Rattus norvegicus: one gene and its partners. The protein of the gene in region 6 interacts with the protein of the main gene of each other region in a pairwise test. Links are inferred from orthologs where the notes say so. Each region holds a gene or a part of one and is shown on either strand. Other genes may lie near its edges. The genes, in order: Ccdc92, Zfp131, Sp2, Dcp1a, Jup, Fhl2 and Banp.

Region 1 (4,586 bases), on a different chromosome or scaffold from region 6:
CACTCTAAACTCCCGATCGGGCAGACGCATCCCCAAGATCGACTTGCCTGGAGTTTGGCCAGAAAGGTCTCACAAAGAAGCCGAGTTCGCGGAGAGCGGCGACCTGGCTGGAGTCGCGACCAGCGCATCTCAAGGGGGAGGCCGGTGCTCGGCGACGGCAGGGGAGTTGTGCCTAGCACTGGCCAGCTTACCTGCCGAGGGCCCGGCCCTGGCGGTGGTCAGACAATGGAGGCGTCCGGCGGCAACAGCAGCAGCAGCCTGGCGCGCTGGGGACACGGGGAGGTCCTCATCACCTGGGCGGGATGCTGGACGGCCTCGGCCGGGACTGTGCAGTGCTGGAGAGGACATGACAGAGAGCCATGCAGCGGACCGCTCTGCGAGCCCCCGCCCCCGCCCCGTGCCCCGTGCCCCGTGCCCCGGCCCGCGCGCGCGGCCATTACCGCTCTCTCCCAGGACCCGCCTGGATGCGCTCCAGGGCGCGGCCCTGGGCTCGCAGAGCTGCGGCGCTCACGCCCGCCTCGGCCCGGACAACAATGGGGCCCGGCCCGGGAGTCCAGCATCCGCGGGGCCTCTTCAGCTTCGTCCCGGCCCGACTAGGGCCTGCACCGCAGCGGGCACCGCGCTGACCTTCTCTCCCCGCCATGCCCGCGGCCCAGGCCCGGCTGAATGATGGGTTGTTTTCCTTTCCTTACTCCCCCGCTTCTCCCGACTCTACCGCCTTCCGCCCCCAAGCCCGCTCGTCGGCCCACGCCCCGTCCTGAAAAGGCAAAAGAGACAAACACACCTAATACGATCGGCCGGTCCAACTCGCTCCCAAGTGTGGCTGAGGAGCGCGTCTAGGCCGCGGACTCCGCGCGCCCACCGGCCTCCTGCTTTCCTCAGGGGACACCTCACAGGTGCGCCTCCGAGCAGCGCGCGCGCGCTCCGCACACCCAGACGCCTCCGGGGGACGGCGCGCGTGCGCACGCGCCAGGCCGGCCAGCCAACTCCATCCCCGGGGAGGGGCGGGGAGAACAAGGAGGGCACCGCACGCATGCGTGCCGGGCGGCTCGCGTCCCCGCCCACACACGCACGCGCGTTCCCTTTCGGCTTCTCCACCCCTCGTTGTCCCCGCCCCACCCCGCCCTGGTTACCCAGGGCAACCGCAGTGCGGCCGCACCTGAGCAGTGCGCTTGCGTGTTACTAACATCCCTCTTTTTTTCCCCCTCATCCTCGCCCTCGCCTTTGCCCTGCCGCAGCCGCAGGGAGTAGGGCGTCGTCCCCTTTCCCCTCCGCAGAGAGAGCATCGATCCGCCCGGGCCCTGCCCCCTCTCACTAGCAGACCGCTGTCGCGTCGGCGCCGCACCGTCTCCTCAGACATCCTCGGGTGCGACTAGCCGGACAGCCAACGTCTCCCGGCGTGCACCGCGCCGAGCGCTCTGAGGGAGCGTGCGGAATGCACCGGCCGGGCGGCGTCTCTTGAGGACCGTGCCGCGCGGCAGGGCCGCCGCGCACCCGGCTCCGACAGTCCCTGCCCATGGGCCGCGGGCCACCGCGAGGAGCAGGCCGAGCGCCGCAGCCGCCTGAGGGACCGTGGCAGGTGAGGCGCGCACCTGCGCTGATAAAGAATCCTTGAGGTTCGCTCGCGGGGCTCGGAGCCAGGCTGCGCACCGGCGCGGCGGGGGAGGCGCGTCGCAACGGCTGCAACCGCCGGCCCGGGCCGGGTACGAGCCGCATTGCAGGTGCGGGGCAGCGCCCCGGGGTCCGGCCCCACGCCGGCGGGATGCTGCGGGCCTCAGCTCCCCGCCCGCGTCACACCTGCCGCCTCCCGGACCCGCAGCCCTGGCGACCGGGTGGCTCCGCGTAAGTACTCTGCCCTGAGCTCCCGGGTCCCGCGGACGCGCACGCTGGCCACGCTCGCAGGTAGCGCTCCGGGTTGCGGTTCCCTCGGGCTCGACCCGGCCCTGCGGGCTAATGTCAAGCCTCAAGTATCTTTAGCTGCACGGTCTAGTCACTGATGACAATGAGGTGCCGGAGGAGAAAAATATGACCGTGCCCCGTGACAGGTGGCACCGATCGGTTTCATAACTAAGTACAGGCTTGGACACACCTTTAGGAGTGTTAGCATCCGGGCGTGATGGCGCACGCCTTTAGATTTCAGCTCTCGGGAGACAGAAGCAGGTGGATCTCCGAGTTGGAGGATAGCCTGAACTAGATAGCGAATTCCAGACAAGCTCAAGGCTACATGGTGAGACACCCTGTGTGGAAGGAAGGAAGGAAGGAAGGAAGGAAGGAAGGAAGGTAGGTAGGTTAGTTAAAACGAGGATCGCAGACTACAAACTAAGTTTGAAATTCATTTAAATAGCATTGGTATTATTTTATTTGCACAGCCAAGAATTCCCTGGCATTCTATCGCCATTGAATTGTAAGGTTTTTCAGATGCTAGCATTCCAGTTGACTTTTACCTCCAATTTTTCATGTTTTCTCTTTGGCTAACTGTTCACCAAAATGGCTGAATATTCTAGTATGTTTGGAAGAAAGGCGTTAAGACTTGTGCTTCTTTATTTTGTATGTGTATACATGAGTACCACTACTGAAAAGCCTTAAAATAGTTTGGATTGCTCCTCTGAAGCATAATGAGTCAGTTTTGTTTCGATTTTTCTGTTTGGATCTGAAGTATGGAAGGATGAACATAGGGCTCTACTGAGCTCTAGCCCCAGGCCTGATTTAACTATATTTTAAAGTATAGAACAATGACTTTCACGGACCAGAATTTTCCTGTTAACACTCTTAAACATCTCAAATAGGTGTTTTGGAAATTAGACATTTCTTTCAACGCCGAATCTTTTCAAAGAAATGCATGAATCCTTTGTTTAGAGCAGCTCACTCATTCTGAGTTCTTAACTCTCATCTGGCCTATGTTGGGAAATCGATTTTAACCTCATTATCTAATTGTCAGGATGTGTTTGCAGCAGGACTGACGTAATTATGATGTCGATGCTTTTAAGAAATACTTGTAAAGCATCCTCTCATATTTCTGGCAAGAAGATATGCACAGCTTTTTTTTCCTATCTAAAACAAGGTCAGCCATAAATAGATCCTAATGCAGACTGGGTGACACATTTATTAACTAAGATTAACTATCTCCTGGACTTCATATATTCTGAGGGCAGGGGCAAGACACCCTGCAGTGCCAAACATACGGAGACTGCTGCAAATGCAAGTCCCAGACCAGCTAGGCAGGTCTGGTGTTTGATCCCGCAGAATCATTTGGCAGGGACAGACAGACCTGTGTCCTAATGGTCTTCAGACATTTGAAGGTCTGCCACGCAGTAGGGATTTGATTGCTTTAGAGTCTTTCCGAGTAAGGAAGAGGACACTGAGTACTTACAGGAAGACAGCGTCCCTGGTGGTGCTGTAGAGCAGAATTACCAGGGGAAGTTCAGCAGTGAAAGGAAGGGGCTGCTCTTCCCTCCGGCTCCCTCCCAGTGCAGCACGAATGGAGGGGACTCAGGGGTGGAGGGAGTTGGGGGGTCTGATGGTGGGTCTCCCAGGGTTTGGTGGTCACTGGATTCCAGGACTTTGTTTCCCTCCTAGCTCTGTGGAGTTTGTTGTTACATGTTCTGCTGCCAGCTTCTAGAGCTGTGGGCATGTTGACATCCCCAGACACCTACTTGAATCCTGGGAAGATAGTGACTGGCTTCTCTGCTTGGTGTCAGAGCTAACTTGAACCCCATTTTGCATGTTTTTGGGGGCTTAGAAATAATAAAGCACTCCCACGGTCAGTGTTATGTTTGACATGTATTAGATACTTCTTCTCTGGCTTTTCTTTTCTGTAATAACCACCTAGTCAAGATAATTGCTGTAGGAAGTCATTCTTGCTAAAAATGAGGTGGTAGTGCCAATTGTTCCAAGAGTCAGCAAGTTGTAAAAGTGAGCTGAGGACATTACAGATGGGTAAGATACGACTTTTGGGCTTGCTCTGCATTTTGCTTTATTTCATTACTCAAATAGGAATCAAGTTTCATAGCAAAACAGTCAAGTCATACCTACCTAAAGTGGTTGTAGTCAGTGTTTTTTGGATGGTTTCTAAATATCCAGAAAGTAAATCAAAACTACAAAGTAGAATCACTGAAATGAGGAAAGGACAAGGAGGCCATCTTGGTTAGGCTTTCCATTGCTGAGGTGAAACACCGTAACCAAGAGCAACTTGGGGAGGAGAGGTTTATCCCATTCATAGTTTCATATAACAGTTCTCAGCAAAACCAGCGAGGGTAGGAATTCAAGCAGGGCAGGAACCTGGAGGCAGGAGCCTCCAGCCATGCAGAAGCCATGGAGGAGTGCTGTGCTCTGGCTTGCTTTCTCTGGTTTGCTCAGCCTGCTTACTTATAGATCCCAGGACTAACAGCCCACGGGTGGCCCTACCTACTGGGCCCTCCCACATCAGTCACTAATTAAGAAAATGCCCTACAGGCCTGCCAAAAGCCCAGATTTTATGGAGGCAGTTTCTCAGTTGAGGCTCTCTTCTCTCTGATGACTCTAGCTTGTGTCAGGTTGACATAAAACTAGAGAACACAGGGGCTTTGTGATTGAAGTACCTGTTTGTG
Region 2 (3,631 bases), on a different chromosome or scaffold from region 6:
TTTTCATAAGAGGAACTTACTACAGTCATTAGAAGTGCAGAGTATTGGATAATTAATAGTCCTTGACTCGTTGGGTTGACTGAGAAGATTTTGACATGACGTTAAAGCAAAAAACACTATGTGTTCATTGGAAACCATTCCTGGAATTTTGAAATCTGATCTTTTCTTGAATTGGTGAAACCCAGTAGGATCTTCTCTTGTGACTCTGGGCAGTAAGTAAGCAGCAAGCTTCAGCTCCTAGAGAAGCATGCACTCAAAATACTGGATAAAACCGATACTCTCATGCGCCCCAGAACAGCTATGAATATGGGCCAAAACAACCGAAATCCCTTAAACAGTAAGGGGCTTTGTTTTTTAACTTGTACAGCTCTTGCATGTAAACTTAGAAGATGACAATGTCCTCCTGTTGCAGTGTCAAAAGGTTGGGCATGCCTTTAGTTCCTATAGTGTGGGTAGGTTAGGGGGTCTCAAATGCTTTTTTGACACAACATCGCAGTGGTATATCAGCATCTCAGGAAAGCTAGAGCCTCAGAAAGACCGAAGTAAAGTTTTAATACAAGTTATTAGCAGCCCTAGATGATCAATATTGACAAAATTGTCAAGTTTGGTAGGTGGTTTTCTTTCTTTCTTTCTCCTCCTCCTCCTTCTTATTCTTTTTCTTTTTTCTTTTTTTTAATTTAAAAAGGCAATCTGTCCTATTCCAGGCCAGGCTGATTTTGTAGCTGAATTATGGTTACCTCCTGTCTCTCCTAAATGCGGAGGCCTGCACCCCACTCCTGGTTGGGGACAGTAGGTTGGGTGTTTGTTTATGTTTATTGACTAACAGCTGTGCTTTGTCATCAGAGGAGACTTTGTAGGAGTTTGTGCTGTTTTCACTGCGTGGATTTTAGGGATTGGGCTCAGAGATTGTCTCCCAACGTGGTGGCAAGTGCTGCCTTTACCTGTTGAGCCAGCTCACCTGCCCACAGTTAATTATTTTTACCCTTAGGAACAGTCATTAGCTTCTGGGAGAGGGGCAGGAAAGGCAGAAAAAGATAGAACTGTGTTTTCCATGATCAATAAATTTTTCTTCCAAATAGTGTAATGGGTCTAAATCTTGAAACTGTGGGATAAACTATGATATTGGCACTTTATATTGGATATTTAACAGGAGCAATGCTGGAGTGTTCCCAGGATTTAGTCAGTTTTAGGTGTATGGGCTGAAAGGTCAAGTGAAACCAAGTGTGTGAGTAGCTTTGCACTAGGTGCCCTGGGAACTATATTTAAAATGGTTCTGTAATAACTTACCTGTGTGGATGGTAGTGTTTTGTCATTGGTTGGTTTGTTTTCTGGTACTGGGAATTAAACACAGGGCCTCCCATATGCTGCGCAAGTACTTTCCCCACTAAGTTATGCGTTCACCATTCAACCCGTATTAGTGTATCTTTGTGAGGATTTCTTTGCTGTTGTTTTTTGTTTTATTTGGTTATTGTATTTGTTGACTGTTAGGATTAGAACCAGTATAGTGCCTTGTGATTGCTAGGCAGATACTACTGAACTAACTTCAACCCATTAGTGTATTTTATAGAGAATAAATGTACCCGCATTTACTTCAGTATGATTACAATTATCATTAACATACTGTGTTTGGTGATTTCAGGTCTGTAACAGTGTATTTAACAGCTGGGACCAGTTCAAAGATCACTTGGTAATACACACTGGAGATAAACCCAACCATTGTACTCTGTGTGACTTGTGGTTTATGCAAGGAAATGAATTAAGGAGGCATCTTAGTGATGCTCACAATATTTCAGAGCGTATAGTGACTGAAGAAGTCCTTTCAGTAGAAACACACTTACAAACGGAACCAGTGACATCAATGACTATTATAGAACAAGTTGGGAAAGTGCATGTGTTACCATTGCTTCAGGTCCAAGTGGATTCTGCACAAGTAACTGTGGAACAAGTTCATCCAGATCTGCTCCAAGACGGCCAAGTGCATGACTCACAAATGAGTGCGCTTCCAGAGCAGGTCCAGGTGAGTTACCTGGAGGTGGGTCGGATCCAGACTGAAGAAGGTACTGAAGTACACGTTGAAGAGCTTCACGTCGAACGGGTCAATCAGATGCCAGTGGAAGTACAAACTGAGCTTCTAGAAGCTGACTTGGATCACATGACCCCCGAAATGATGAGCCAAGAGGAGAGCGAACCTAACCATGCAGATGCTGCCATGGAAGAGTACGAAGACACTGAGGGCTTGGAGACCAAACCAGGAGAGCACTCCCACGCTGTAAAAGTGGACCACGACAGGACATCTATGCCCGTTTTAGAATGAAATAGCAGTGATATTTCTAAATTTACATTTGGGGTAAACTGATGGGCAGTGTGATCGTAAGCTATCAAATAAGTGGACCAAAGTTAAGCTATTTCTGTTGTGCTGAACTGTTTCTATGGAAACAGGCTGATGTCCTTCCAGTTAATGCCACAGAGTGGGAATATTCCTCATAATGAGTGGGAGCTTTGAGAAGTATATTTCTGGTAACTTAAATGAATTATATTCTTATTATATAGTTGGGTCCGAATGCATCTATTTTCATTGTGGTAAGGGTCTCCGTGTCCTCTTCCCCAGGTCATGTCTCTCCTTAAATTCTTTGCATATTATAAAATCATACTTAAAACCATTAGAATACATACATTTGTATTCTAATGCATGTTTAAAAATTGAGTATGTAGGCAACACAAGGCTGCATGAGGGAAGTGCATTGTTACTGTGCAGTTAATAGTTGGGGGCTAGCTTTAATTCGAACAACATTCTTGTCTAACTAGTGGCTACAAATGCTGTCCCCACAACAGAAACGGTGGTGGCAGAATTTCTAGAATGTTAAAAAAAAAAAAAAAAAAAAACCACCCTGTGCCTTTTCAAAAACCAACAAAACTTCAGAAAAACATCTCTGGTTCTTTCAAAGTTTGTGTTTTAAAGAGCAGCATAAAGTGCTCTGGTACTTGGTATTTTTGCTTAAAATGACAATTACCAATTCATTTTCCTTTAAGTTACATTGAAAATTTTTCATTTAACGGCGGCTAAAGGGCCATTTTCAATGGAAAAAATTCATTTCCATCTGTGGTAAACTTTATTTTGATGAGAACTTGCACTAGTATTTTACCACCAGATGGGAAAAGATTAGCTGAGCATCATTTTAAAATTAATGTATTTAAATAAAGTACAGAGGAAACGTATGTATATAATATATCAGGCTTTGTTTTGAGTGGACTCTTTTCCCCCCAATCCTTAATGTAAAGATTTTGTGCTATAACTTTTAAAGCCATACAAATAAGAGTGCTAAACTGTGGACTTAAAAGTAGTTGTGTAAATATTTTTAATCAGTATTACTTGGAAAATAAAAATATAACAACCACATAAAATCAATATGCTATTTTCTTTACCTGTTAAATACTGGGAGATAATTTACATTTTAAAGTAAACTTTAAAATTATGTGTTCATGACTCTTTTTAAAGTTATTTAATTTTATGTGTGTGGGTGTTGTGCTTGTATGTATGACTGCGCACCGTGTGTGCCTGATGACTCCCTCCCCTAACACAGAAGGTGCTTAGAGTCGGTTGTGAGCTGCCATGCGGGTGCTGAGAAGCAAA
Region 3 (3,839 bases), on a different chromosome or scaffold from region 6:
AGCAGCAACAGGTGGTCCAGATCCCCCAGCAGGCACTGCGGGTGGTGCAGGCTGCCTCTGCCACCCTCCCCACCGTTCCCCAGAAGCCCTCCCAGAACTTTCAGATCCAGACAACTGAACCAACACCAACCCAGGTACCACAGCCCCTCTCCCTTCCCTCCCTCTCTGCTCACCCCTTTGGCTTGCTTTTGAAACAGAGGCAGATCAGCAGCAGATCTGATGGGAAGCTGGAGTCACCATCATTTGGGGTGGCAGGAAATGGCTTCTGCCCTGAGATCTCTTCAGGTCTTAGGCCAAGTAGACATAGTTCCCTCTGTAGAAAGCAGATGGAACAGGGAAAACTGGTCTGTTTTTTCTTTCCTTATGGAGTAGCTCTGGGGCCATAACAGGCTAGATATGTATACTTTCATAATAAAGTATTTTTATTGTAAGATTACATATAACGGCAAGAGTGAGAATTTGAGCCAGAACCATAGAATTTGGTGTAAAGTAAGAAAGTTCAGGAGGAAAAAAATGCTGGCCACTGCTAATGACAAGAAAAATAACAGGTGCAGCCAGACCTTTTTCCTTTTTTGAGACAGGGTCTCCCTGTGTCCCAGGTAGGCCTTTACCTCACTGCACAGCCAAAGCTGGCTTCAAACTTGGAATCCTCCTGCTGCAGCCTCAGTGCTGGGATTACAAGTGAGCTCTATCCTTGCTTCTCTCCACCTCTGCTTCTCCCTGAGAGATGGTTTCTTGTGCTTCATTCATTGTGTGTGCACGTGGGCATGTGAGTATGCGTTTTCCCCTTCAGTCTAGACTCCTCCTGAAGGAGAAAACAAACTTGTTTTCCCGACCCTGTCATTCCACTCAACATGATGACCTCTGGTTTCTTGGAGTACGTTCACAGCTGCTTCTACTTCTGCAGCTGTCAAGGCAGCTGGCCATTCTGCCAGCTGTTCAACTCTTGTCTTTTTAGCTGCCAAGTGACCGCCACCTTGCTGCTTTGTAGTCTGCCCTGCCAGCTGTGCGCAGCTGCTCCTGTCACTTTACAATGTCTGCTGCCCCTTCCTTCCTTCCTTCCTTCCTTCCTTCCTTCCTTCCTTCCTTCCTTCCAGCCAGGCCGGCCTCAGACTCAGAGATCTGACTGCCTCTGCCTCCTGAGGGCTGGGATTAAAAGCTTGCACCACCATGCCCAGTTGCTGCTCCTTTCTGTTACCAGCTCAGCCCACTGTAAAGCAGACAGGAACAGACAGAGCCTAAGGTTGCTCAAGGCAGACAGGGCAGTAAAGGAGACTCCAGCACCGTGGGAGTCAAACTCCGTTCCCCAGTGTCTCTGGATCCCATTACAGATGGTTGTGAGCCAACAGATTGTTGGTGCTGGGAAATGATCGTGAGAAGGAGTGCTCAAATGAACGTTTAAAAGTTGACCCAGGGACTGGAAAGATGGCTCAGCGGTTAAGAGCACCGACTGCGGGGCTGGGGATTTAGCTCAGTGGTAGAGCGCTTACCTAGGAAGCGCAAGGCCCTGGGTTCGGTCCCCAGCTCCGAAAAAAAGAACCAAAAAAAAAAAAGCACCGACTGCTCTTTCCAGAGGTCCTGAGTTCAATTCCCAGCAACCACATGGTGGCTCACAACCATCTGTAATGAGATCTGATGCCCTCTTCTGGTGTGTCTGAAGATAGCAACAGTGTACTCATATACATAAAATAAATATTAAAAATATTTTTTAAAAAAAGTTGAGTTAGGTGCAGTGGTGCACACCTGTAGCCATATTCAGAAGGCTGAGGCAGGACTGACATGTGTGTTACCAGGCCCAGTGATTTTAGCAGACTTGAGCAATGTTCATCATGGGGCTGGAGAGCTGGGTCATGGTTCAGAAACTGGCTGCTTTTTCCAGAGGCTCCAAGTTTGATTCCCAGCACTCACATGTTGGTTGTCAACCAGCTGTAACTCCACTCCCAGAGGACTCAGCGTCCTCTTGTGGTCTCCATCTGCACACATGTGATAACAGACATGTAGACAACACATCCACACAGCATGGTAATAAAAATCAAGCAGTGCCTAGCACCCAGCACCCACCCAAGGAGAGCGACCCCCCACCTGACTCAGGCTGTCAGAGCTTAGCAAAAGGGAAGACAGAAACGGACAGGTCCTCTCCTCCCGCCCCCCCCCCCGCCCCCCGGTTAGTGAGCCTGTTTACTACCTCAGAAAGAATGAGTACATGGCAACATGCTACAGATTGGGGAAGATATGAGGCCTCTGTATGTATTGAGGGATGGCAGGTTTATATGTTGTCACTTAACTAAAAGCAGTCTTCAGTAACCAGGAATTAAAAATATCCCCAATTAAAATCACAGTTTTACAAAGGATTTTTTTTTCCTGGATCATTTAAGCATAAACTGCCACCATGGTCGTCCTCCCACTTCCAAGTGCTTTAATTCTCCCACACAAGCACAGTCCCTGTACACATCGCATCCATCAAGCCTGAAACTCACTAGTGAAATGCTGGTGTCCAATGGGGAGGCACCACTCAGGTTTCCTGCATGCTTTGCTTAGTAATTCCAGCACTGCCCATGGGCTCTGTCCACCTCATGTACAGTAGTCACACGTCTCTGGTCAATCTCTCTTTCAGGAATAGTTCCTCACACCCCCACCACCATGAAGCTGGAGTTTAACCCAGGGCTTCGAGGATCGGCACTTTTTACCTTGACAGTCATGGCCTTGCTGCTTTCGAAGGCCACAGGCAGTTGTTTCACAAAATGTCCTTGAGTTTATGTGACATTCCCATGAGCGTGCTCACAGAAGGGTGTGCGCTGTGCCAAAGCAGTTCAAGAGTTCTGTTTGTCCTATTGTTGGTGACAGTTACAGTGGCAGAGCCTGACAAAGGAGAGAAGCAATGATCCTCTATATCTAATTATGAACTTGTTTTTCTTTCTTTTTTTTTTTTTTCCGGAGCTGGGGACCGAACCCAGGGCCTCTCTACCACTGAGCTAAATCCCTAACCCCTTCTTTTTTTTTAAGATTTATTTTTATATATGAGAGTACACTGTAGCTGTCTTCAGACACACCAGAAGAGAGCAGTGGATCCCATTACAGATGGTTGTGAGCCGCCATTGTTGGTGCTGGGAAATGTGGAACCTCTGGAAGAGCAGCCATTACTCTTAGCCACTGGTCCACCTCTGCAGCCCCCTCCTTTTAAAAGATAATTTTGCTTTGTGGTTAAGCTGGCCTCCATGTGACCGTAGCCCATGCTGGTGTTGTGCTTTTTTACTAGTCTTCCGATTTTGAGATTTAGCAGTTAATATTTTTCCATGCTAAGCAGAGTAAAGGTTGGGTTACAGGTCAGTGACCACTCATGCCAGTTTAGTGTAGGGCATCATTGGCCTTGTCAAGCATCAGTAGTGCATAAATATGTTCTTGGGCTTGATGAGATGACAGAGGTGTCCCAGCCCTCCCTTGGACAAGGTCATGCTGCCAACTCTTTTCTCTGGCCCCTCAGGTTTATATCCGTACACCTTCTGGTGAGGTACAGACGGTCCTTGTCCAGGACAGCCCCCCAGCAACAGCTGCAACCACGTCAACCGTCTCCTGTAGCAGCCCGGCGCTCCGAGCTCCCCATCTGAGTGGCTCCAGCAAAAAGCATTCGGCTGCAATTCTCCGAAAAGAGCGACCCCTGCCAAAGATTGCACCTGCTGGGAGCATCATCAGCCTGAACGCTGCACAGCTGGCAGCAGCTGCTCAGGCCATGCAGACCATCAACATCAATGGTGTCCAAGTCCAGGGTGTGCCTGTCACCATCACCAACACTGGCGGTGAGAGAGAGTCCTGAAGCCAGGAGGGCCCTGCAGCCGGGCTTT
Region 4 (3,839 bases), on a different chromosome or scaffold from region 6:
AGAGCAGTTAGTGCTCCTAACCACTAAGCCATCTCTCCAGCCCCGAAAATTAATTCTTTAAATGGTTGGTTTGTAAAGGTTGACAACTTTACCTTGTTTGGCAGCATAGGGGCCTCATCCTAGGTGGCCCACAGGATGAGACAAGTCATGAGACCCTTGTATTCCCAGGTACCCATAGCTCTTGGTGTTAGAGGCAAATCCCTTGCCTATTCTAGAACTTTGAGCGGTAGCAGCAAGGCTACAGACATTGGTTCTTTTTGTGCCGAGTTCTTTTTTGGACAGCCATCCTCCACTGGTACCACTTTATAAGAATGGAGTGTTATTGTAAATGTTAGTGTAGAACGTTGTGATCTTGTCTAAATACACTTTTTCCTTTAAATGGAAGTATTTCGAGGTTTGTATGACAAGCTCCTCTTTCTTTGATACTCTTTTCTCTACTTCATTTTTCTTCTCTAAAATAAAAAAGATCTAACTCCAACCTCTTCATTAACAATATAAGTCTCTAAGAACCCCTAACTATTATTAGAACAGTAGTGTCTGTATACTCAGGGATATTTATAGCTCTAATTTTAAGGAATAAGCATAATGTCTATAACATTTGGGGATATTTATAGGTCTAATTTTAGAAGAATAAAACAGATTGGAGAAAGTGGGAACTTCAGTATAGTGAGTAACTTCATTTAAGACAATTCATACAAACTATAGCATTGGTCTAAGAAAAGGAGGCTTAAGAGCCTCTATTTGGGAACTGAAGAACATTTTCTGTACGTTGGACAAAAATACACTAGAATGTCATAATGTTACTTTGCAGGAATCAAAAAGAAAACTGGATTTGGAGTTTTTAATTTGTGTGACTTTGGGCATGAGCCTTAATTCTGCTTCTGTTTCTGAATCTGGAGAACAGGATTTCATTATCTCCCTGTGATATTACAGAAACAAATGTGAACTATGAAGTGTTAGGTTGAGGAGTGTTCAGTGGATTGTGTGTTGAATGTCCTTGGTTCAGAAATTTAGAGCTTTCTTACTGTAGAACTCGGGAAAAACATACAAAGACCATTTAGTGTAAGGAAAGTTACCGCTGTAATGAGTGGCAGTCATAGACAGACTTGTACCATATTTTTAAAAACCTGGTACTGGCAGCACATGCCTTTAGTCCTACACTTGGGAGGCAGAGGCAGGTAGATTTCCAAGTTCAAGGCCAGCCTGGTCTACAGAGAGAATTCTAGGGCAGCCCAGGGCCACACAGAATGACCATGTCTCAAAAACTGAAGAAAAAAATGTTACTTCTTCCAGCATCAATTTATTACGAGCTTACATCAAGAGATGGGGGTTGGGGTGAGAAAGTGACATTTGGGCAAATACTTGCCGGAGAGGAGATGCTGGTACCAGTTTGGGGGGCCGCAGTACAGACAGAGGTCTTAAGGTAGAAACAGACCTGCAGATAGTGGCAGGGAGCCCAGTGTGGCGGAAGCGGGAAAGACTCACAGGAGGTGACATGGGGTGGGAACCGTGATGACTAGCCTTTTATGCTAAGTAATTAAGTCCTTATGAAGACGTAGGTGCAGAGAGGGAAATGTCTGACTTCGTGGTTTTTGTTTTTTGTTTTTTTGTTTTTTCTGTTTTAAGAGTTGAGGCTTAAACCCAGGACTTTGCTCATGGTAGGCAAACATTCTACCATGGAGCTATATCCCCAGCCTTGTACTTTTGCTTATGATTTTAGATACTAATCTTGTCATATGATGTAACTAGGAATTTCTTTTTAATGAGAATAAAGGAGTAGATAACATTTCTGCAGATTGAAAGGTAACACATGTTCTCTTTCTTTAAATCAAAGGTCAGCTTCGCCTTACCATGGCTTTACCATTGTCAACCGACTGAACATGCACAATCTGGTTGAACCAGTGAATAAAGATTTGGAATTTCAGCTCCATGAACCATTTCTTCTGTATAGAAATGCAAGTTGTGAGTATATCTGTTTGCATTTAACAGAGTGACTTTAATTTTAGAACACTAGGTTTGGGAGTTTCAAAATCTACAAAATATGGCCTACATTATAAATGCATGTCTTGGTAAAAGATCAAATTTGTTTTAAATATATTAATCTCTGTGTACGACGTGTATATGTATGTGTGTACATATACCCCAGCCACTTTTCAACCTACTAGTTTAATAGTATCCAGTGGGTACACATACTATGCCAAAGCTTTTGTGCTTTAGTGATGGGGAGTCTGTGCAGGACGTGCAGGTGTGGTTACAAGGCTCAATACACTTAGTTGGAGAATTCCTAGCCCAAGGTCTTGTCAAGCATTTTTACAGGTTGTAATAGCTGTTGAATTTAGTCAGCAAAGCTCAGGGTAGCCCTTTTGAGAAGAGTATAGGTGTTCCTCACCTCACAGTGGCATTACTTGCTGGTAGAGCTCTCATAAACTGAGTTTGTTGATGTACTTACGCTGCTGGACTCCAGAGCTTAGCAGCACAGTGTGCTGTGGAGTATCGGTTGTCCCCGAAGTGATCACACGGGATTGGGAACTGTGGCTGGCTGATGGTGTACAGTACTGAGGGGAGTAGCCCACGGTGTTACTTCTGTTCCTATCCCAGGGGAAGGTACAGTCCTAACTGTGGTTTTCACTCAGTACACACTACTTTCATAACACATTTTAAAGTTTTTTTTAAAGGTTTAAATGTATGAGTACACTGTAGTGTCTTCAGACACACCAGAAGAGGGCATCAGATCCCATTACAGATGGTTGTGAGCCACCATGTGGTTGCTGGAATTGAACTCAGGACCTTGACTACTAAGCCATCTCTCCAGCCCCTTTCATAACATTTTTAAGCAAAAAAAAAAGAAAAAAGAAAAAATCTTAAATCAGATTATCCTGAGTATGGGACCATCTGAACAAAAAAGTATAGTTGAAGATCAAGGGTATAGCTCAGAAGAATACTTAGTGTCCATGTGCTTTGGGTTAGATTGGGTTCTGATAGTCCAGTATGATGTTAGAAGTGTGACTGAGGACAGGGACAGTTTGCTTGTTTTTGACCCAGGAGGGATATCAAAACAGAGTGGTGATTTAGAAAGCCGGACACCTTGGCTGGAGCTCTTTGTAGACCAGGCTGGCTTTGAACTCACAGATATTTGCCTGACTCCCTCCCCAGTGCTGGGATTAAAGGCGTGTGCCACCACCGCCCAGCATTTCCTGCTCAGTTTAAGTTTCTACATAAAGTAGGATCTATGTCTTCACTTTCCGTAAACATTTCTCAGGATTAACACTGGAAATACCTCTGGGATCTTAAATCCTACAGGCTTATTAGAGACACTTGTTGAGCTGGAATGATAGTATACATTAATAACCCTAGTAGGTTGGGGGCTAGGCAGCCTGTGCTGTAAGCTCCTATCTCAGAAATAAAAAAAATAAAAATTAAAGGCACATTATTAAATACCTGTAAGCTCAGGATTTATGTGAACTAGTAAGAAAGGGTGTAGTATTACAAATGGCTGTTTTATGTTAAATTTCCATTAAGGGGAAATTCTTCAAAAGAACGCTTACTGAATTTTTAATATAAAATCAGTCCAATTCTGCTTTTTGCTGTTGTGACAGTTCTGTATTGCTACAAGTCATTGGGGGAAATCAAGAGACTGATGCGCCTGATTACCATGTGGCATAAGCCTGAGTCCTTCAAATTAGAGTCCTGTAAAACTGACTTTCACTGGCTGATCTGGAGGTGGGAACACTCAGGAGGCAGAGGCAGGTGGATCTCTGTTCGAGGCCAACCTGGTCCACAGACCCAGCCAAAGCTACATAGTGAAATCCTGTCTTTAAAAACTAAACAAACAAAAAAGC
Region 5 (4,600 bases), on a different chromosome or scaffold from region 6:
CCAGTCTATACAGCAAGTTCTAGGCCAGTCAGGGCTGCACTTTGAGACCCTGTCATCAAAAAGAAAGGAAGTAGTTCAAGGTCAACCTCAGAGGCTAGCCTAGGCTACAAGAGACTGTCAAGAAAGGACGGGGGGGGGGGGGGGCGGGTTGGGGATTTAGCTCAGTGGTAGAGCACTTGCCTAGCAAGCGCAAGGCCCTGGGTTCGGTCCCCAGCTCCGAAAAAAAAAAAATTAAAGGACAGTGGGGGGATACAACTTCCATCCAGGGCCGATGATGGATCCCATGGGAAAGTGCTTGCCTACGTGCAAATCCACAAGGCCCTGGATTTGGTCCTTAGCAGCCAAAAGAAAAAGGGGAAAGAAAAAAGAAATCCTTCCAGAGTTGTAGTAGAGCCTAACAGCAGAATGAGGTCTGAGCTTAGCCCTCTCTTGAGTCTAGCAACACTGGGCAAGTTGCTATCCTTCCCTGAGTTTCTGAAGAAGACATTAAAGTGCGCCTGCCTCGGGCTGGAGAGATGGCTCAGTGGTTAAGAGCATTGCCTGCTCTTCCAGAGGTCCTGAGTTCAATTCCCAGCAACCACATGGTGGCTCACAACCATCTGTAATGAGATCTGATACCCTCTTCTGGTATGTCTGAAGACAGCTACAGTGTGTTCATATACATAAAATAAATAAATAAATCTTTAAAAAAAAAAAAAAGTGCGCCTGCCTCTGTGAGCATGGTTAGTGGCGCTTGGTACCAGACAGTCTTCTGGCTTTGAGTTACCATCAGTCAAGTACTTTCTGGGTAGCTAGGTTTATTAATTCCTGAGGTCGCTGAGCCAGGAAGGTGCTTTGACGCAGGCTGCACAGGTAAGGAGACACTGCTCAGGGATTCAAACTATCTCAGTCCAAGTCCCTGTTCTCAGAGCTGACCCCTTAGACTGTCTCCCTAGATCACTGTCCTTCTGTGGACCAGCCAAATGTGTCACCTTGTCCTAAAGCAGCTCTGCAGGACGACAGGCCTCCCTCTCATAGGCAATGACCTGTGGGCCCCCAGGAAGGAAAACAGTCAAGCAGGCCCCGCCTGACCTTCCGTTCCCACAGGCTGCATTCTCCAAGCTCAACCTTAGCAGGCCAGACGGCGGCTCCAGAGGGAATGGGGTGGAGCTCGGGTGCGGGGGAGGCTTCTGTCACCCAAGCCCAGACTTGATCTGGTGAGAAATGACTAATCGGATCCTACCTTTGCTTCCCCTCCCTCCTGTCCGTCAGAAGCCAGCTTGGGCCGGGCAGCTCATAGCCCTACTTCTTCCTCAGTACTGTCTTTTCACCAGAGCCACGAACCAGATTTGCTAAACTATTCATTTAGTTCACCTAATGACAATGCCTACCCCTCCTCCTCCTTGACACGGAGAGGACATGAGCCTAAAACTAATGCCCCCAGTTCTTCCTAGAGGTGGTCACACATATTTTACCAACCACAGGACCTAAGGCGAGATTACGGGGGATATGTCTCCCACCCCCACTCTTCTATTCACAACCAAGCACCACCTCAGCTTCCAGGAGAATCAGAGCAAACAGTGCTCACGACCCCCACCCCATCTTCCCTCTGCCCCCCCCCCCCGCTAGCGTTGTCATTCCTGCTCTGTCCCCCCAAGAAGACTGGACTCCAAATGCCTATGAAAAGGCCAATCTTCAGATTTGTACAGAAGAGTGCAGCAAGCCGAGTAGAAGTTGACAATTCCAGCTGGAGAGGAGCTCTCAGCACAGGGAACCAAGGGGAGGGCTCACACTGTTCACCCTGAGGGTGCCTGGCATGGCAGAAGCCTTCCATAGCAAAGACTTCCTCCTGTCCCACTTTCCCCGCCAAACACTCAGTTAAAGAGTGGGTGGAGGAGGGACTTCTGGCAAGTCCTCTAGAAAGGACGCACCTTCATAATTCAAACCCAGTGAACAGCAAGCAACATTCCTGCCCTATGCTACCCTGCCTCAATGGTCAGCCAGCTAAATAAGCTGGGGGATGGAACGGGGGAGTTGGGGAAAGATTAATCACTCTTCCCAATCTTCCTAGTTTGGCCCAGCCCTGCCCCAACCCCATTCCTGGGGAAGGGGCAGAGCTTGGGAGGAGAGGCACTTAGCAGGCCTCATATAAGGGGGTGTGGTGGTCCCGTGAGGATGCGAAAAGGGAAGGAAGAAGACACTTCCCTTTTCAGCAACGCCCCCACCCACCCCCATTGGTCCCTACCTCGGGCCTTAGGGGCCTAGCAAACAGGATGGAGGTGGGGGCAGGGAGAACCGGGTCAAAGCGCACAGGCTGTGTTCAGCTTGGAGCTGACCAGGGAAGAGGCTTTCCTCTAAGAAGTACCACCAAGCCTTGAATCAGCTCTCAACAAGGAGACGGGGAAAATCCTAGAAAAGGCCCCCACGGTTACTTTCTCCTGGAAAGTTTGTTTGGAGTGATTTCTCAACAATAATGGGTTGCAGAAATCAAAAGATATCGCTGTTTCCCTACCAACACTCTGGAAACCACAAGCTACTAAAATCTGGGCGAGTGTTTCTTAATTTTCTCTACCGGCCCAGACTCCAGGCCATGCCACCAGGTCAGACAGACATCGGTAGGGCACTGAGCCCAGACCCTTCACCAGTTCCCCCGTCACCCCATCCACCTCCGTAAGAGAAGCCATAGACCGGCGTACACTAGAGCGGAGGGAGGCGCCACAGGTCCAGCTCGGAGCTACAGGGCAGGGCCTCGGTCCTCCAAGCGCTCACCTGCTCTGCTCAGCAGGTGGGAATCGCGTCTCTGGGAAAATGTGCACTCGGCCCCCACAGTTGGGTAAGCTGGGCGCAGACAATAGGGCCCCACCCAGGCCTGGGGGAGTAGGGAGGGAGGGAAAGCGAGGATGACGCGTGGGGTGGGGTGAGGGTGGCCCCAAAGAGACTAGGCAGCAAGTTTCCCGAGCGGTAAATTCCTGTCACCGTGGGATCTGGGACCAGGCGGAGCGGGTCAAAGTCTGCCCGGTCAGCTCCAGGGGAGAGTCAGCGACGCCGCGTCGGGCAAGCTCCGCGGGCCCTGGGGGAGGCGCGAACTCCGAGGCACCTGCCCTAGTTCCTCCCCGCCCTTCTCAGACCTGCGGTTCACCGAGCCTGGAGGGGCGCTCCAACCCAGATCGCTTGTCCCAGGGGTCCCGTGCCCCGGACCCCAGTGCGCCCCCTGTCGCTGGTGTAGGATGCACTCCCTGGCACCCGCCCTCACCTGCCCTGAAACCGCTGGAACCAACCTCTCGGCCGCTTGCCCTACTCTACCCTCAGTGATACGTACCCCTATCCGGTGTACCTGAGCGTGGAGCCGGGCCGAGCCGGGTCGGGGTCGGGTCTGGCCGGGAGACAGCCGGCGCAGGCAGCGAACTGAGCTCGGGGCGCTCGGGCGGCGGCTGCTCCGGACTCTGGCCAAGGCAGCAACTCAGTAACCGAACAAAAGGCAAAGGGACCTGACAGCCAAGCCACACCTCTCGCCCCCTTGAAGCTCCGCCCCCTAGGGAGACTCCCACCCTCTGAGGTTATCTCACTGGCTGCCCAGCCTGACTATCCTATTGAGGGGCGGAGCCTCACGCCGGGACCTCTACCACGGCCGCCTCTGTTTATGCGCTCACCATTGGCCCCAGGGACTGCCAGTCGACTCTGGGGTGGACGCCAACTTGAGGTCTCATCCTCACTCTGCATCTATTGGCAAATAGAAAGTTTCTTCCTTATGATTGGACAGAGGGCTGTCAGTAAGACTAAGGCAAAAGCCAATGGAACAGGTGGGGCGTTACTTGCCCCACCCTAGCCCTGAGCAGGTAAGACTCATTATTCTCCCCTTCCCCCTACCTGTCCAACAGGTGAGTCAGGGGGAAGCATGGGAAAGGACTGACGCCTTCACTAGCCAGCCAACTCAGCGTCAGGATTATTCATTCTTGCCTCAACATAGTAATAAGATGTTTGTAAAGCATTTCATAGGCTTTGTGCTAGGTTGGGATTTCTCCCCCTACAAAAGATGGAGTGTTCCCGGTTCTCTTCTGTTTAGAATTAGAAGGCCTGGTTTGGGTTCTCCCCTTAATCTTTGTATGACCTTAGGCCAGCTAGTATACTTTTCACCCTGTATCTAAGTGGGTTCATTAGCTTTATCTATCTTGGGTTGGAGAGATTAAATAAACTTTGTAGCTTAAACAGCTGAGGAATGTCAGTATTTAAGCCAGTGAGATGGTCCGTTCGAGACAGTTCTTAAAAAGTGCTGGAGCAGGCAGCCAGGCAGTGGTGACACGGGCCTTTAACCTTAACCTCGGCACTCAAGGAGGCAGAGGCAGGCAGCTCTCTGAGTTAGAGGCCACCCTGGTCTACAAAGAGGGTTCAAAATGATCCGCATTAAGAGAATCTTTAATGGGCTTGTGTGATGTCTCAGTTGGGCAAGTGTGATGACCTGAGTTTGATACCTGGTGGAGGTAGACCAAGTCCAAAAGGTTGTCCTCTGTCCCCTGATCTCCCGCCTTGGCACAAGTGCCACACACATAAAAGTAAATACAGTGTAATGCGATTTTAAAACTAAGCTCCAGAGATCGAAAGACTAGGAAATGTGGTGCACTGT
Region 6 (4,577 bases):
CTCAGCTCTGCGTTCAGGTGGGTTTACTTAACTCAGAGTTCTGTAGATTCAAGGGCCTCACAGAGGAGGCAGAGGAAGAGAGATCCACAGGAAGCAGAGGCTGAGATACATGGAGGAAGCCCAGTTCCTCCCAAGGAGGAGCCTTCTGCTGACTAGACTTCCTCTCTTAAGACTTATTTCTTATGTGTGGTATGTATCTGTATGAGCTTGTGCAGGTGTCCACTGAATCCAGAAGATGTAAGATCTCTAGAAGCAGAAGTTACAGGGAATTATGAGTTGTGAGCCAACTCAGACCCTTGGTAATTATTCTTAACAGCTGAACCATCTCTCTAGCCCCTAGACTCCACTTTTCAAAGGCCCTACCTCCCAACACTTACACAAGGATAACTAAACTTCCAACACGTGAGTCTTGGAGGAAAAAAATCATATCCAGATCACAGCTGGTTACAGATGGGGCAGGTCCCGAGGTGTGGTTTGAATCAGAAGGATGACATTGGCAAATATGTTTGACAATATGTTCACCAGGGAGTAGAACTCTTTGAAAGGATTAGAGGGATTAGGAGGTATGGTCTTGTTGGAGGAAGTGTGTCTCTGGGGCTGGAGCGTTGAGGTTTTAAAGCCTACGTCAGGCCAAACTCTCCCTGTGGATCACAATGTAGAACTTTCAGTAACTTCTCCAGCACCAGGTCTCCTGTGTGCCACCATGTTCCCTACCATGATGACAATAGACTAAGTCTTCAAAACTGTAAGCAAGCCCTTAAGTAAACGCTGTCTTTGATAAGAGTTGGCTTGGTCAATACATTGACTTTGACATGGTGTGTCAGGTTAGGTAGCCAGTTCTCAGTGCAGAACAGGGGTAGAATCCAGGCTTCTTGGCCTTCTGAGTTGTGTTTGTTTAGTTAGCTGGGTTTGTTTTTTGTTTATTCATTTATTTTTTTTAATATCCTGCTGGGCATTTCTGTCTGCAGTTGAGATATCACTCAGTATTGAAGTGGTTTAACAATCTTGGGTCAAAACATGTGGTCTAGGGCCTCAACAGAATATTCTCTCAATGCATCGTAGTAGAGAATAGAGGTCAGAACTCAGATATCAAGCTATCTGGAGGCAGTTCTTGGGGCCACACTCTACAGGCTGGGAAACTTTGGACATCAAATTATTTTGATTTTTCTATTTAAGTTTCTTTCTCTGTGAACAGGAGGCTTTAAAATCTACACATGGTGCTTATACTATGCAATAGTTATCTAGTTCTCTGGGAGGAAACTGAGGCCCTGATAGACTTGGCTCTGCTCCAAGTACATCTGCCAGCTAAGACTTCTATACCCATCCCTATCCTGCCTGGGAGGCTGGGCTGCAAGGAGGCAGAAGGAAAAGAAGCCACAACAGGGGTCCCCAACACTGCATACTGTTCTGTTAAAAACTAGGAGAGCACTGAATCTGAAAAAAGAATGAGGGAAAGAATGATTTAAATCTTGTTTTGTTTTTCTTTTTTTATTAAACTTTAGTTGGGTTGGGAATTCTAAAACTTAATGCAAATTGGTTTCTATGGTGGTGGGGCTTCGACGGGGAGGTTCTAGATCACTGTAGCTGCAGGATGTGGTAGGTTACTCCTGCAATTGCAACACGTTGGAGGCTGAGGCAGGATAGGCACCAGTTTGAAGCTACCTGGGATGACACAGTAAATTCCAGGCTTTCCTGGCTACAGAATGAAGCTTTATCTCAAACAACAACAACAAAACAATCCCCCCCACAAGCCACACCCACAAACACCCTTTCTCTATTGCATTACTGTGAAATTTACACATAAGCAAAGTAGCACCCCAACACGAGACACATTTAGAGCAGTGTTTCGAAGGCAACCTTGTAACTATAAGTCCAAATTGTAGTTAATTACTTCCCGAAATATGTGTAAGAAAGTTGGCTTTACCGAAGACAGCTGTATATTTCATAAAATGCGTTCTTTGTTGAGTTCCAGAGACACAACTGAAGATTATCAAGCAAATATGGCCATTTCTTCACTTTAAATCAGAAAAAGCATTTCAAGACTTTCTTTCCATAAGACTGAAATCTATCAGAATTCTTTTCATCCTAAAGAAGTTGTTTTTCTTTTTTAACCCTACGGCTCAGGTTTTAATTTGGGGGATTAGTCAAGGTGTGTGGTCACAGGCAAACTCCCACTTCTTCTCAAGGGAAATGCTTGGCCTTCCACGTGCTGACCAGCCTGTCACCTCCCTCCCATAGACTTCAGGAACCAGTTCCACTTCACCTCTGGGGGCTGACCTGTGGGCAGTTCATCGTTTCCCACCACCTGGCAGTGATCCACCTTTACAGGGCCGCCACCCTCCCTCTGGACACCAACAGTCCCTTCCCCACCATTTCCAAATTCGGCTCTCCTGTGCTCAAGTCCTCCAACACGCATGATTTTGGTCCTCTCTGCCCCGCATCCGTTCTTCCTAGGGATGTCTCCCAGTAGATCAACTCGCGGGTCCTGAGATCTCCCCTCAAGCCTTTCCTTCAGCCTCTGCCACATTTCCGATCCACCTTCTCCCCTTTCCCTCCTGACTCCCTCCGCTTCATTTCGGGTCATCATCCTGGGTATCCTCTGCCCAGCTACACTCTCCTCTCTCCCTGATCTGTCCTTTCCGTTTGGGGTCCCCATCCCGGGTGTCCTCTGCAAATAGGGCTCTCCTCCCGCCAGGATCTGTCCTCTCCGTTTCGGGACCCTACCCTGATGCGGTCTGCACAGCTCTGCTCCGGTCTCCTGGGTCTCCGCCCCGCGGTCCGGGTGCGCTGGCCACTGGTGTCTCTCCACGCGTCCTAGAGCAGCTGTCTGGTGGGGATCCTCGTGTTCCAAGCAGGGCTGTGGCCTGGGCGGCGCCAGGAGTACTCACACACGGTGAGGCCGGGGTCTAGGGGAACCCAGCGGACTGTGGACCGGTGGCGGCAGCGGCTCAGCGGGCGGAGTGCAGCCGGCGCTGCGCCCGCCCTCGAGAACCCCCGCCGAGTCATTTGACCATATAAGGACACACGCGCCGGGGCGGCGGGCTGGGCGCGCTGGCCTGGAGAGCCGGGCGCGGCGGCGAGCGCCCCTCAGCAGCCGGTCGTCGTCTGTTCCCCCTGCTGACGTTACCACAGACCTTTTGTTTGACTTAACCTTCTTCCTTGCTTCCTGGTGTTTGGCTTACACTGTCAACCATCGTTGCGCCCTGGACTTGGCTCCCGGGATTGTTGCTAGGCAATGCAGAGAGCTATAGCCACTGCCACCCAAGGGCGGAATGACACGGGACTACTAACACCAGGACCCTCCTCTGGGTTGCAGGGTCCCTGCCCGGTTGCAGCCTGGTGCAAGCATGGATGGATGGGTCGTTTGCAGATGTGGGGGAAGGAACTATGTGTGTGTAGCGCACACATTGGCATGGTAGTCTGTTGGGCCTTGCCTTGCAGACACCTTTCCATCATGGAATGAACCAAACCAATGACCTAGAGAATCATTAATGAGCCTGTTCCACCAGGGAGCTCACTGAGAGAAGGTCCTATGCTCAACACTCAGGGCTTGAGAGCTGTTGGACATTCAGTGGCTCCCTCCTGGCACAAAGAAAACGCTGGTCTTAATGTGGCCTTCACACTGTAAGCCAAGGTCCTCTGCAGAGTTGGTCTTTAGTAGGGACACGAGACTGTGTTGTGAGGCATGTGGTATCCTCACGCCTAGGAAAGGCAGCATCTGCTCTTGAGCAAATGGGTCCACACCCGGACAGGGTGGAAGATGGGCATGTGGAGAGGCAATGAAGGCCGGGGTTGGTGATTTCTCAGGGTCATGAGGTGACAGTTTATCAAGGGATTCATTTGGGTGCAGAGTCTATGAAAGGATATAGTTTGTCATCACTAAAATGGTATGGCCTCAGTAAGAATGTAAAGTGGCTGGTCACATTGTCTTCTCAGTCAAGAAATAGCGAGCAAGGAGACCTGGAGCTCAGTTTTCTTTGCCCAGCTCTAGAGAAGTGCCGTCCACTTTGGGAGCCAGTCTTTCCTCCTCAGTTAAACATCTCAGGAACTACCGCAAAGATTCTTCTAGAGGTGTGTCACCTAGGTGAGTCTAAGCCCAGTCAAATAGATAGTGAAGAACTATCACAGTGGTAGAAGTCGTGTGGGGTAGGCTTGTTATTTCCTCCATCCGAGGGGTGCTGAGGGCAACACATTTTCCGTTTAAGGCAGGAAGAACCGTGTGGTGTCTTTCTTCTGGATGATACTTCCTGATTGCTGTCACCAGAGGGTCTCCATGGTGGGACCTCAGAACTTGAGAGGCAAGGGAGTTAGGATAATTGTCCCGTAGTCAGCATTAGCTGTATCTGGCCTCTCCAGGGATCCTCGGCTCCTTTTGGTAAAGTTAGTTATCTCAATTAAATGGTGAGGACTCTAGATGAGGTGAACAGTTTCTATACCAGCTGAGATTGGCACTGATGTCTATGAGGTGGCAAGGCCATAAGAGTATCTTAAAAGATGGGAAATTCTTAACTCCTGTCACTCTCTCGGGAGTCTCCCTGGAGTTAACACTTTCCTCAGAGGAGAGTGAGCAAGCTGGG
Region 7 (3,839 bases), on a different chromosome or scaffold from region 6:
CCTGTGAGCGGTGACTCAGTGGCCCAGGCTAACCCCTCCCAGCTTTGGCCTCTGGGAGGAGACACACTTGATCTGCCTGCTGGAAATGAGATGATCCAGGTTTGTAAGTCGGGTTTCTTGTCGGGAGATGTGGGTGGCCTGACCAGTGTTTTCCAGGGACCGTGTAAGCAGGGTCAGGTCAAAGCTCTGGACAGCAGGTGGAGCCTTACAGAGCCTACCGCAGGTTAGACAGTGCCACACACTGAGCCCAGGCTTACAGAGGCTGCCACAGTAACTGCCACTGTCAATGCTGGATACCTACAGAGGCCTGAGGCTAAGAGCTTGCTTTGCCAGCCAGAGACATCATAGTAGAGGTGCATGGTAGGGGTTAGCAGAGCTGATAAGGTGTCTGTGAACAGGCATGTGCCTTACTTACAGATGTGTGCATGTGCACATCTATGACCACAGGTGTCTGAAGACATGTATAGGCATACTTGTAACAGTTGATGGCATATGAAGACATATGGCTTGATGAATGGCCATCAAGTCAGGCCCATCTGTTGAGCTCAGAGCCCTTACCCCATGGAGCCTTTCACTCTTGGACACAGGGTCATTCTGCCGTTGGAGCAGTTCTAGTGTTTGTATCCTTTCCTTCCTTCTGAAGCCTGCTGATTCTGCTGTTCAAGGAACGTGTGGAGAGCCCCCCTTTGCCTCTACCTGGGTTACCCTGGTGGATGGCCCTGGGTAGGTCAGGGGAGACAGGCACCAGTGGGCCATAGATACTGTCCTGTCTGCTTGAGCCCAAGTTCTGGCAGTGAGACCAGGAAGCTCCTGTGACTCAGGTGCTGGAGGGAAGTGTTCACTGGTCCTTAGAGATGGCTTTGGTAGCCTGTAGGGTTATCATAGGAGCCCATGGGACCCACTAAGATCCACAGGAGCTGCTGAGTAGGGAGACCAGGAAGACTGCTGGGTGAGCAATGCAGGGGAGGAGAGGTCCCAAGCTGCGCTGGCTACCCAGGAAAGGCCCAGGCCAGCATATACAATGGAGAGTCTGGAAGAGCCGGGCTCCATCCAAGTCTGCCACCAAGGGCTGTCCCCAAGCAGGAGCTCGGTTTACCGTCTCCTGACTGTAAAATCCCCCGTTTTGTTTCAAGTTGAACTGCTTGGTCAGATGAGGGAGAGCACCATGCCTGGAGAAATGTAGTTCTTAGCAAAAATAACGAACTTGCCTGCAAGTCAGAGTGAGTGAAGGAGGAATCTAGAGGCTTCTGTCACTGATGCTTATAAGATTGGATCATTTTACCCTGTTTCAGGCTTTTCCTGCTGGAAGGAGCCATGCTTTATCTAAACAAGGAGTCATTATTGTCAGCCAGCTGTGGGCAACTCAGCATCTGTTGCCCTGCTTTCCTCTGCAGAGGGAGGGAGTGGCCAGTGGCATTGTGCAGTAGCTGTGCCAGAGTGGGTGTGGAATAGGGGACGCTGAGGTATCTGGGATAGAAGCAGCAGGCAAGTGTTTATGTTGAGTTCTGAGCTTGCCTGGAAACCAGTTCCCAGATGTGTGTCTGCACACCCTTCTTCCTTTAGTTAACCTGGATTGAGCACCTAGAGAGGGCTGAGGACTGGCTCCCCTGTTTTTGAACATCCCACTGCCTATCACCATGGCCCATGGGGTAGCTGACCAATGTGTGGTTCCTGTGAGGCCCAGGAAACTTTCCTCCTATCCCCACATGTTGACATAGAGAAGAGCAGCCATAAGCAGCTCGAGAGGTGTGTCTTGAGGGCCAGAGTTGTGCAGAGACAGGCTGTTATTGTTGCTGTTGTCTCTTGGCTGTCAGGCCTCCATAGATGAGGGGAATCACACTGGAAGTGAGATTGACCCAGAAGCCACTGCACTCCCCAGGAAGGAGGTAGATAGACTGCTTCCCAGAGGAATGCTGGGAGTTCTCCTTATTAGAATCCAGCATGAGTCGGCAGTCACATCCCCAAATAGTTGTCTCACTTTTTTTTAGTTATTCAAAAATATTAAAAAGGACTTTAAAGTCATTAAAAATATTTTCCCAGTGCCTGTGAACCTGGGTCTATTTTGGTTTGGCAGACCCTCATTAGCATAAGAGACACTGTCCTTATTTACAGTGTGTCCTTTAAAAGGGCACATGTCATCTGACAGTCAAGCTAGCTGTTTACAAGTACAGCTCTTCTTAGAAGTTGTCTGGGTGAGTTTGTACTGCTGTCTCTGGTTGTGGGGAACCTCACGTGGTCCTCTCCATGCCAAATGTGCTTCCTACCCAGCAGTTCTGTCCACTGCTGGGGTTCTGTCCACTGTTGGGGTTGCACGTCTGGGCGCCCTGGCCTTCCCACCTAGGGCAGTACCCAAGGCTGATTGAAGGGCACCTGTGAGTGCGCAGATGGAGGCTCTGTATTGCCTGCCTCGAGCCTCCTGCCCGGTCGTGTGAGCAGCAGGTGGAGTTTGTGGGAAGTGAATCAGTGGGATGGATTTCCAGAGCTGGAGTCACCCAAGCTTATTCCTCCTACTCCACATCCATTCTGAGGCAGGGTCACTGTCAGGCAGGGTCAGGACGATGGAGGGATGCAGCAAAGAGGACTGAAGGATCTGTTCTGTAGTGACCTGCCCCTGGTGTCTCTGCTCACACCCTCCCCTTGGAGCCTGTTTGCCCCTCACTGTCCCTGCCACAGTAGCTCTTCCCTTCTTTCTTCTTTGTGTGCGTGTGTCCGAGTGCGTGTGTGTGTGTGTCCGAGTGCGTGCGTGCGTGTGTGTGTGCGCGCACGTGTTTGTGGATGGTGTCCTCATCTCTCTTCACCTTATTTTTCCTGAGGGTTTCTCACTGAACCTGCAGCTCACTGTTTGGCTAGGCTGGCCGTGATCCACCTCCAGCAGTCTTCCTGGTTGGGGTTACCCAGCTGCTCCTGATTTGTGTGTGGATACCGAAGATCCAGGCGCAAGTCCTCATGCTGGCACACAAGCAGTACACCTACTGCAGCCCTCCCTCTCCTTTTGTTTCTCTATCTAAAGTTATTGGCTCCACATGGGCTCTGTGCGGGGTTTGTTAAGCTCTCCCGCTGTCTTCAGTGTGCCTGTGCAGTCTTCAAGTTCTAGCTTATTGGTTTCCACACGGGCTTTAAAAGACTAATGTCTGTGTGTAACAAGGGTGTTTCTGCAAGACTAAGTGTGAATGTGGCAGATTTCATGACAGTCAAAACTCAGCACGTCAGGTGGGTGTGTCTGCAGTGGGCACTGAGGCTCCATTGCATTCACATCCATGCTGTGGGCCTGGGCCTCTTATTGCTTCTGAACCAGAAGAGGATAGGGGTCTGCTGACCCAAGCTCCACTGACCAACCTGGCTTTGTCCCCAACCCCAGGTACTGCAGGGTGCTCAGCTCATAGCCGTGGCCTCTTCAGACCCTGCAGCTACAGGAGTAGATGGGTCGCCTCTCCAGGGCAGTGACATTCAGGTTCAGTATGTCCAGCTGGCGCCCGTGAGTGACCACACGGCTGCAACGCAGGTGAGTCCTGTCCCTCTCAGTCCCACCAGCCTCCCTGGTAGATACTGAACTTGGACTGTGACTGACATTCCTAGAACTAGGAACCCTTGTCGAGAAGCATACAGGTCTGGCAGAGGCATGGAGCTTCTGTTCACTCTGAACTCCTAAAGTCAGAATGTGTGGGCTCCTCTGATCTCGGCCCGGCAAGGGCAGGTGACCGTGGTAGGAGCAGAAGACTCAACAGTCCGGTTCTGTACCATGTGAAGTCTCCCTCCTCCTCTGCACACCTTGCTGGCACTGGCAGCTCCCCTTCCTCTGTGTGGTCCAAGCCTGGTGCAGTCCGCAGTGCAGGCTCTCA

Evidence for each region.
Region 1: the proteins of Fhl2 (region 6) and Ccdc92 interact in binary tests that used the Homo sapiens proteins (3 or more experiments, as listed by UniProt). The two-hybrid records come from large-scale screens. The link is inferred for Rattus norvegicus from reciprocal best matches to the Homo sapiens genes FHL2 and CCDC92.
Region 2: the proteins of Fhl2 (region 6) and Zfp131 interact in binary tests that used the Homo sapiens proteins (3 or more experiments, as listed by UniProt). The two-hybrid records come from large-scale screens. The link is inferred for Rattus norvegicus from reciprocal best matches to the Homo sapiens genes FHL2 and ZNF131.
Region 3: the proteins of Fhl2 (region 6) and Sp2 interact in binary tests that used the Homo sapiens proteins (3 or more experiments, as listed by UniProt). The two-hybrid records come from large-scale screens. The link is inferred for Rattus norvegicus from reciprocal best matches to the Homo sapiens genes FHL2 and SP2.
Region 4: the proteins of Fhl2 (region 6) and Dcp1a interact in binary tests that used the Homo sapiens proteins (3 or more experiments, as listed by UniProt). The two-hybrid records come from large-scale screens. The link is inferred for Rattus norvegicus from reciprocal best matches to the Homo sapiens genes FHL2 and DCP1A.
Region 5: the proteins of Fhl2 (region 6) and Jup interact in binary tests that used the Homo sapiens proteins (3 or more experiments, as listed by UniProt). The two-hybrid records come from large-scale screens. The link is inferred for Rattus norvegicus from reciprocal best matches to the Homo sapiens genes FHL2 and JUP.
Region 7: the proteins of Fhl2 (region 6) and Banp interact in binary tests that used the Homo sapiens proteins (3 or more experiments, as listed by UniProt). The two-hybrid records come from large-scale screens. The link is inferred for Rattus norvegicus from reciprocal best matches to the Homo sapiens genes FHL2 and BANP.

The regions. Positions count from the first base shown.
Region 1 is NC_086030.1:37,455,946-37,460,531, forward strand, and holds the start of Ccdc92 (coiled-coil domain-containing protein 92), read left to right. Parts: upstream 1-1,730; 5' UTR 1,731-1,842; intron 1,843-4,586.
Region 2 is NC_086020.1:53,457,746-53,461,376, reverse strand, and holds the end of Zfp131 (zinc finger protein 131), read left to right. Parts: intron 1-1,639; coding exon 1,640-2,314; 3' UTR 2,315-2,883; downstream 2,884-3,631. UniProt on the Homo sapiens protein: Plays a role during development and organogenesis as well as in the function of the adult central nervous system. May be involved in transcriptional regulation as a repressor of ESR1/ER-alpha signaling.
Region 3 is NC_086028.1:82,441,045-82,444,883, reverse strand, and holds part of Sp2 (transcription factor Sp2), read left to right. Parts: coding exon 1-134; intron 135-173; exon of another isoform or gene 174-313; intron 314-611; exon of another isoform or gene 612-805; intron 806-1,743; exon of another isoform or gene 1,744-3,481; coding exon 3,482-3,794; exon of another isoform or gene 3,795-3,839. UniProt on the Homo sapiens protein: Binds to GC box promoters elements and selectively activates mRNA synthesis from genes that contain functional recognition sites.
Region 4 is NC_086034.1:5,666,226-5,670,064, forward strand, and holds part of Dcp1a (mRNA-decapping enzyme 1A), read left to right. Parts: intron 1-1,834; coding exon 1,835-1,962; intron 1,963-3,839. UniProt on the Homo sapiens protein: Necessary for the degradation of mRNAs, both in normal mRNA turnover and in nonsense-mediated mRNA decay. Removes the 7-methyl guanine cap structure from mRNA molecules, yielding a 5'-phosphorylated mRNA fragment and 7m-GDP.
Region 5 is NC_086028.1:85,824,296-85,828,895, forward strand, and holds the start of Jup (junction plakoglobin), read right to left. Parts: upstream 3,135-4,600; 5' UTR 2,749-3,134; exon of another isoform or gene 2,676-2,748; intron 45-2,675; exon of another isoform or gene 1-44. UniProt on the Homo sapiens protein: Common junctional plaque protein. The membrane-associated plaques are architectural elements in an important strategic position to influence the arrangement and function of both the cytoskeleton and the cells within the tissue.
Region 6 is NC_086027.1:52,920,365-52,924,941, forward strand, and holds the start of Fhl2 (four and a half LIM domains protein 2), read right to left. Parts: upstream 2,963-4,577; 5' UTR 2,725-2,962; intron 1-2,724. UniProt on the Homo sapiens protein: May function as a molecular transmitter linking various signaling pathways to transcriptional regulation. Negatively regulates the transcriptional repressor E4F1 and may function in cell growth.
Region 7 is NC_086037.1:66,985,667-66,989,505, forward strand, and holds part of Banp (protein BANP), read left to right. Parts: coding exon 1-99; intron 100-3,358; coding exon 3,359-3,502; intron 3,503-3,839. UniProt on the Homo sapiens protein: Controls V(D)J recombination during T-cell development by repressing T-cell receptor (TCR) beta enhancer function. Binds to scaffold/matrix attachment region beta (S/MARbeta), an ATC-rich DNA sequence located upstream of the TCR beta enhancer.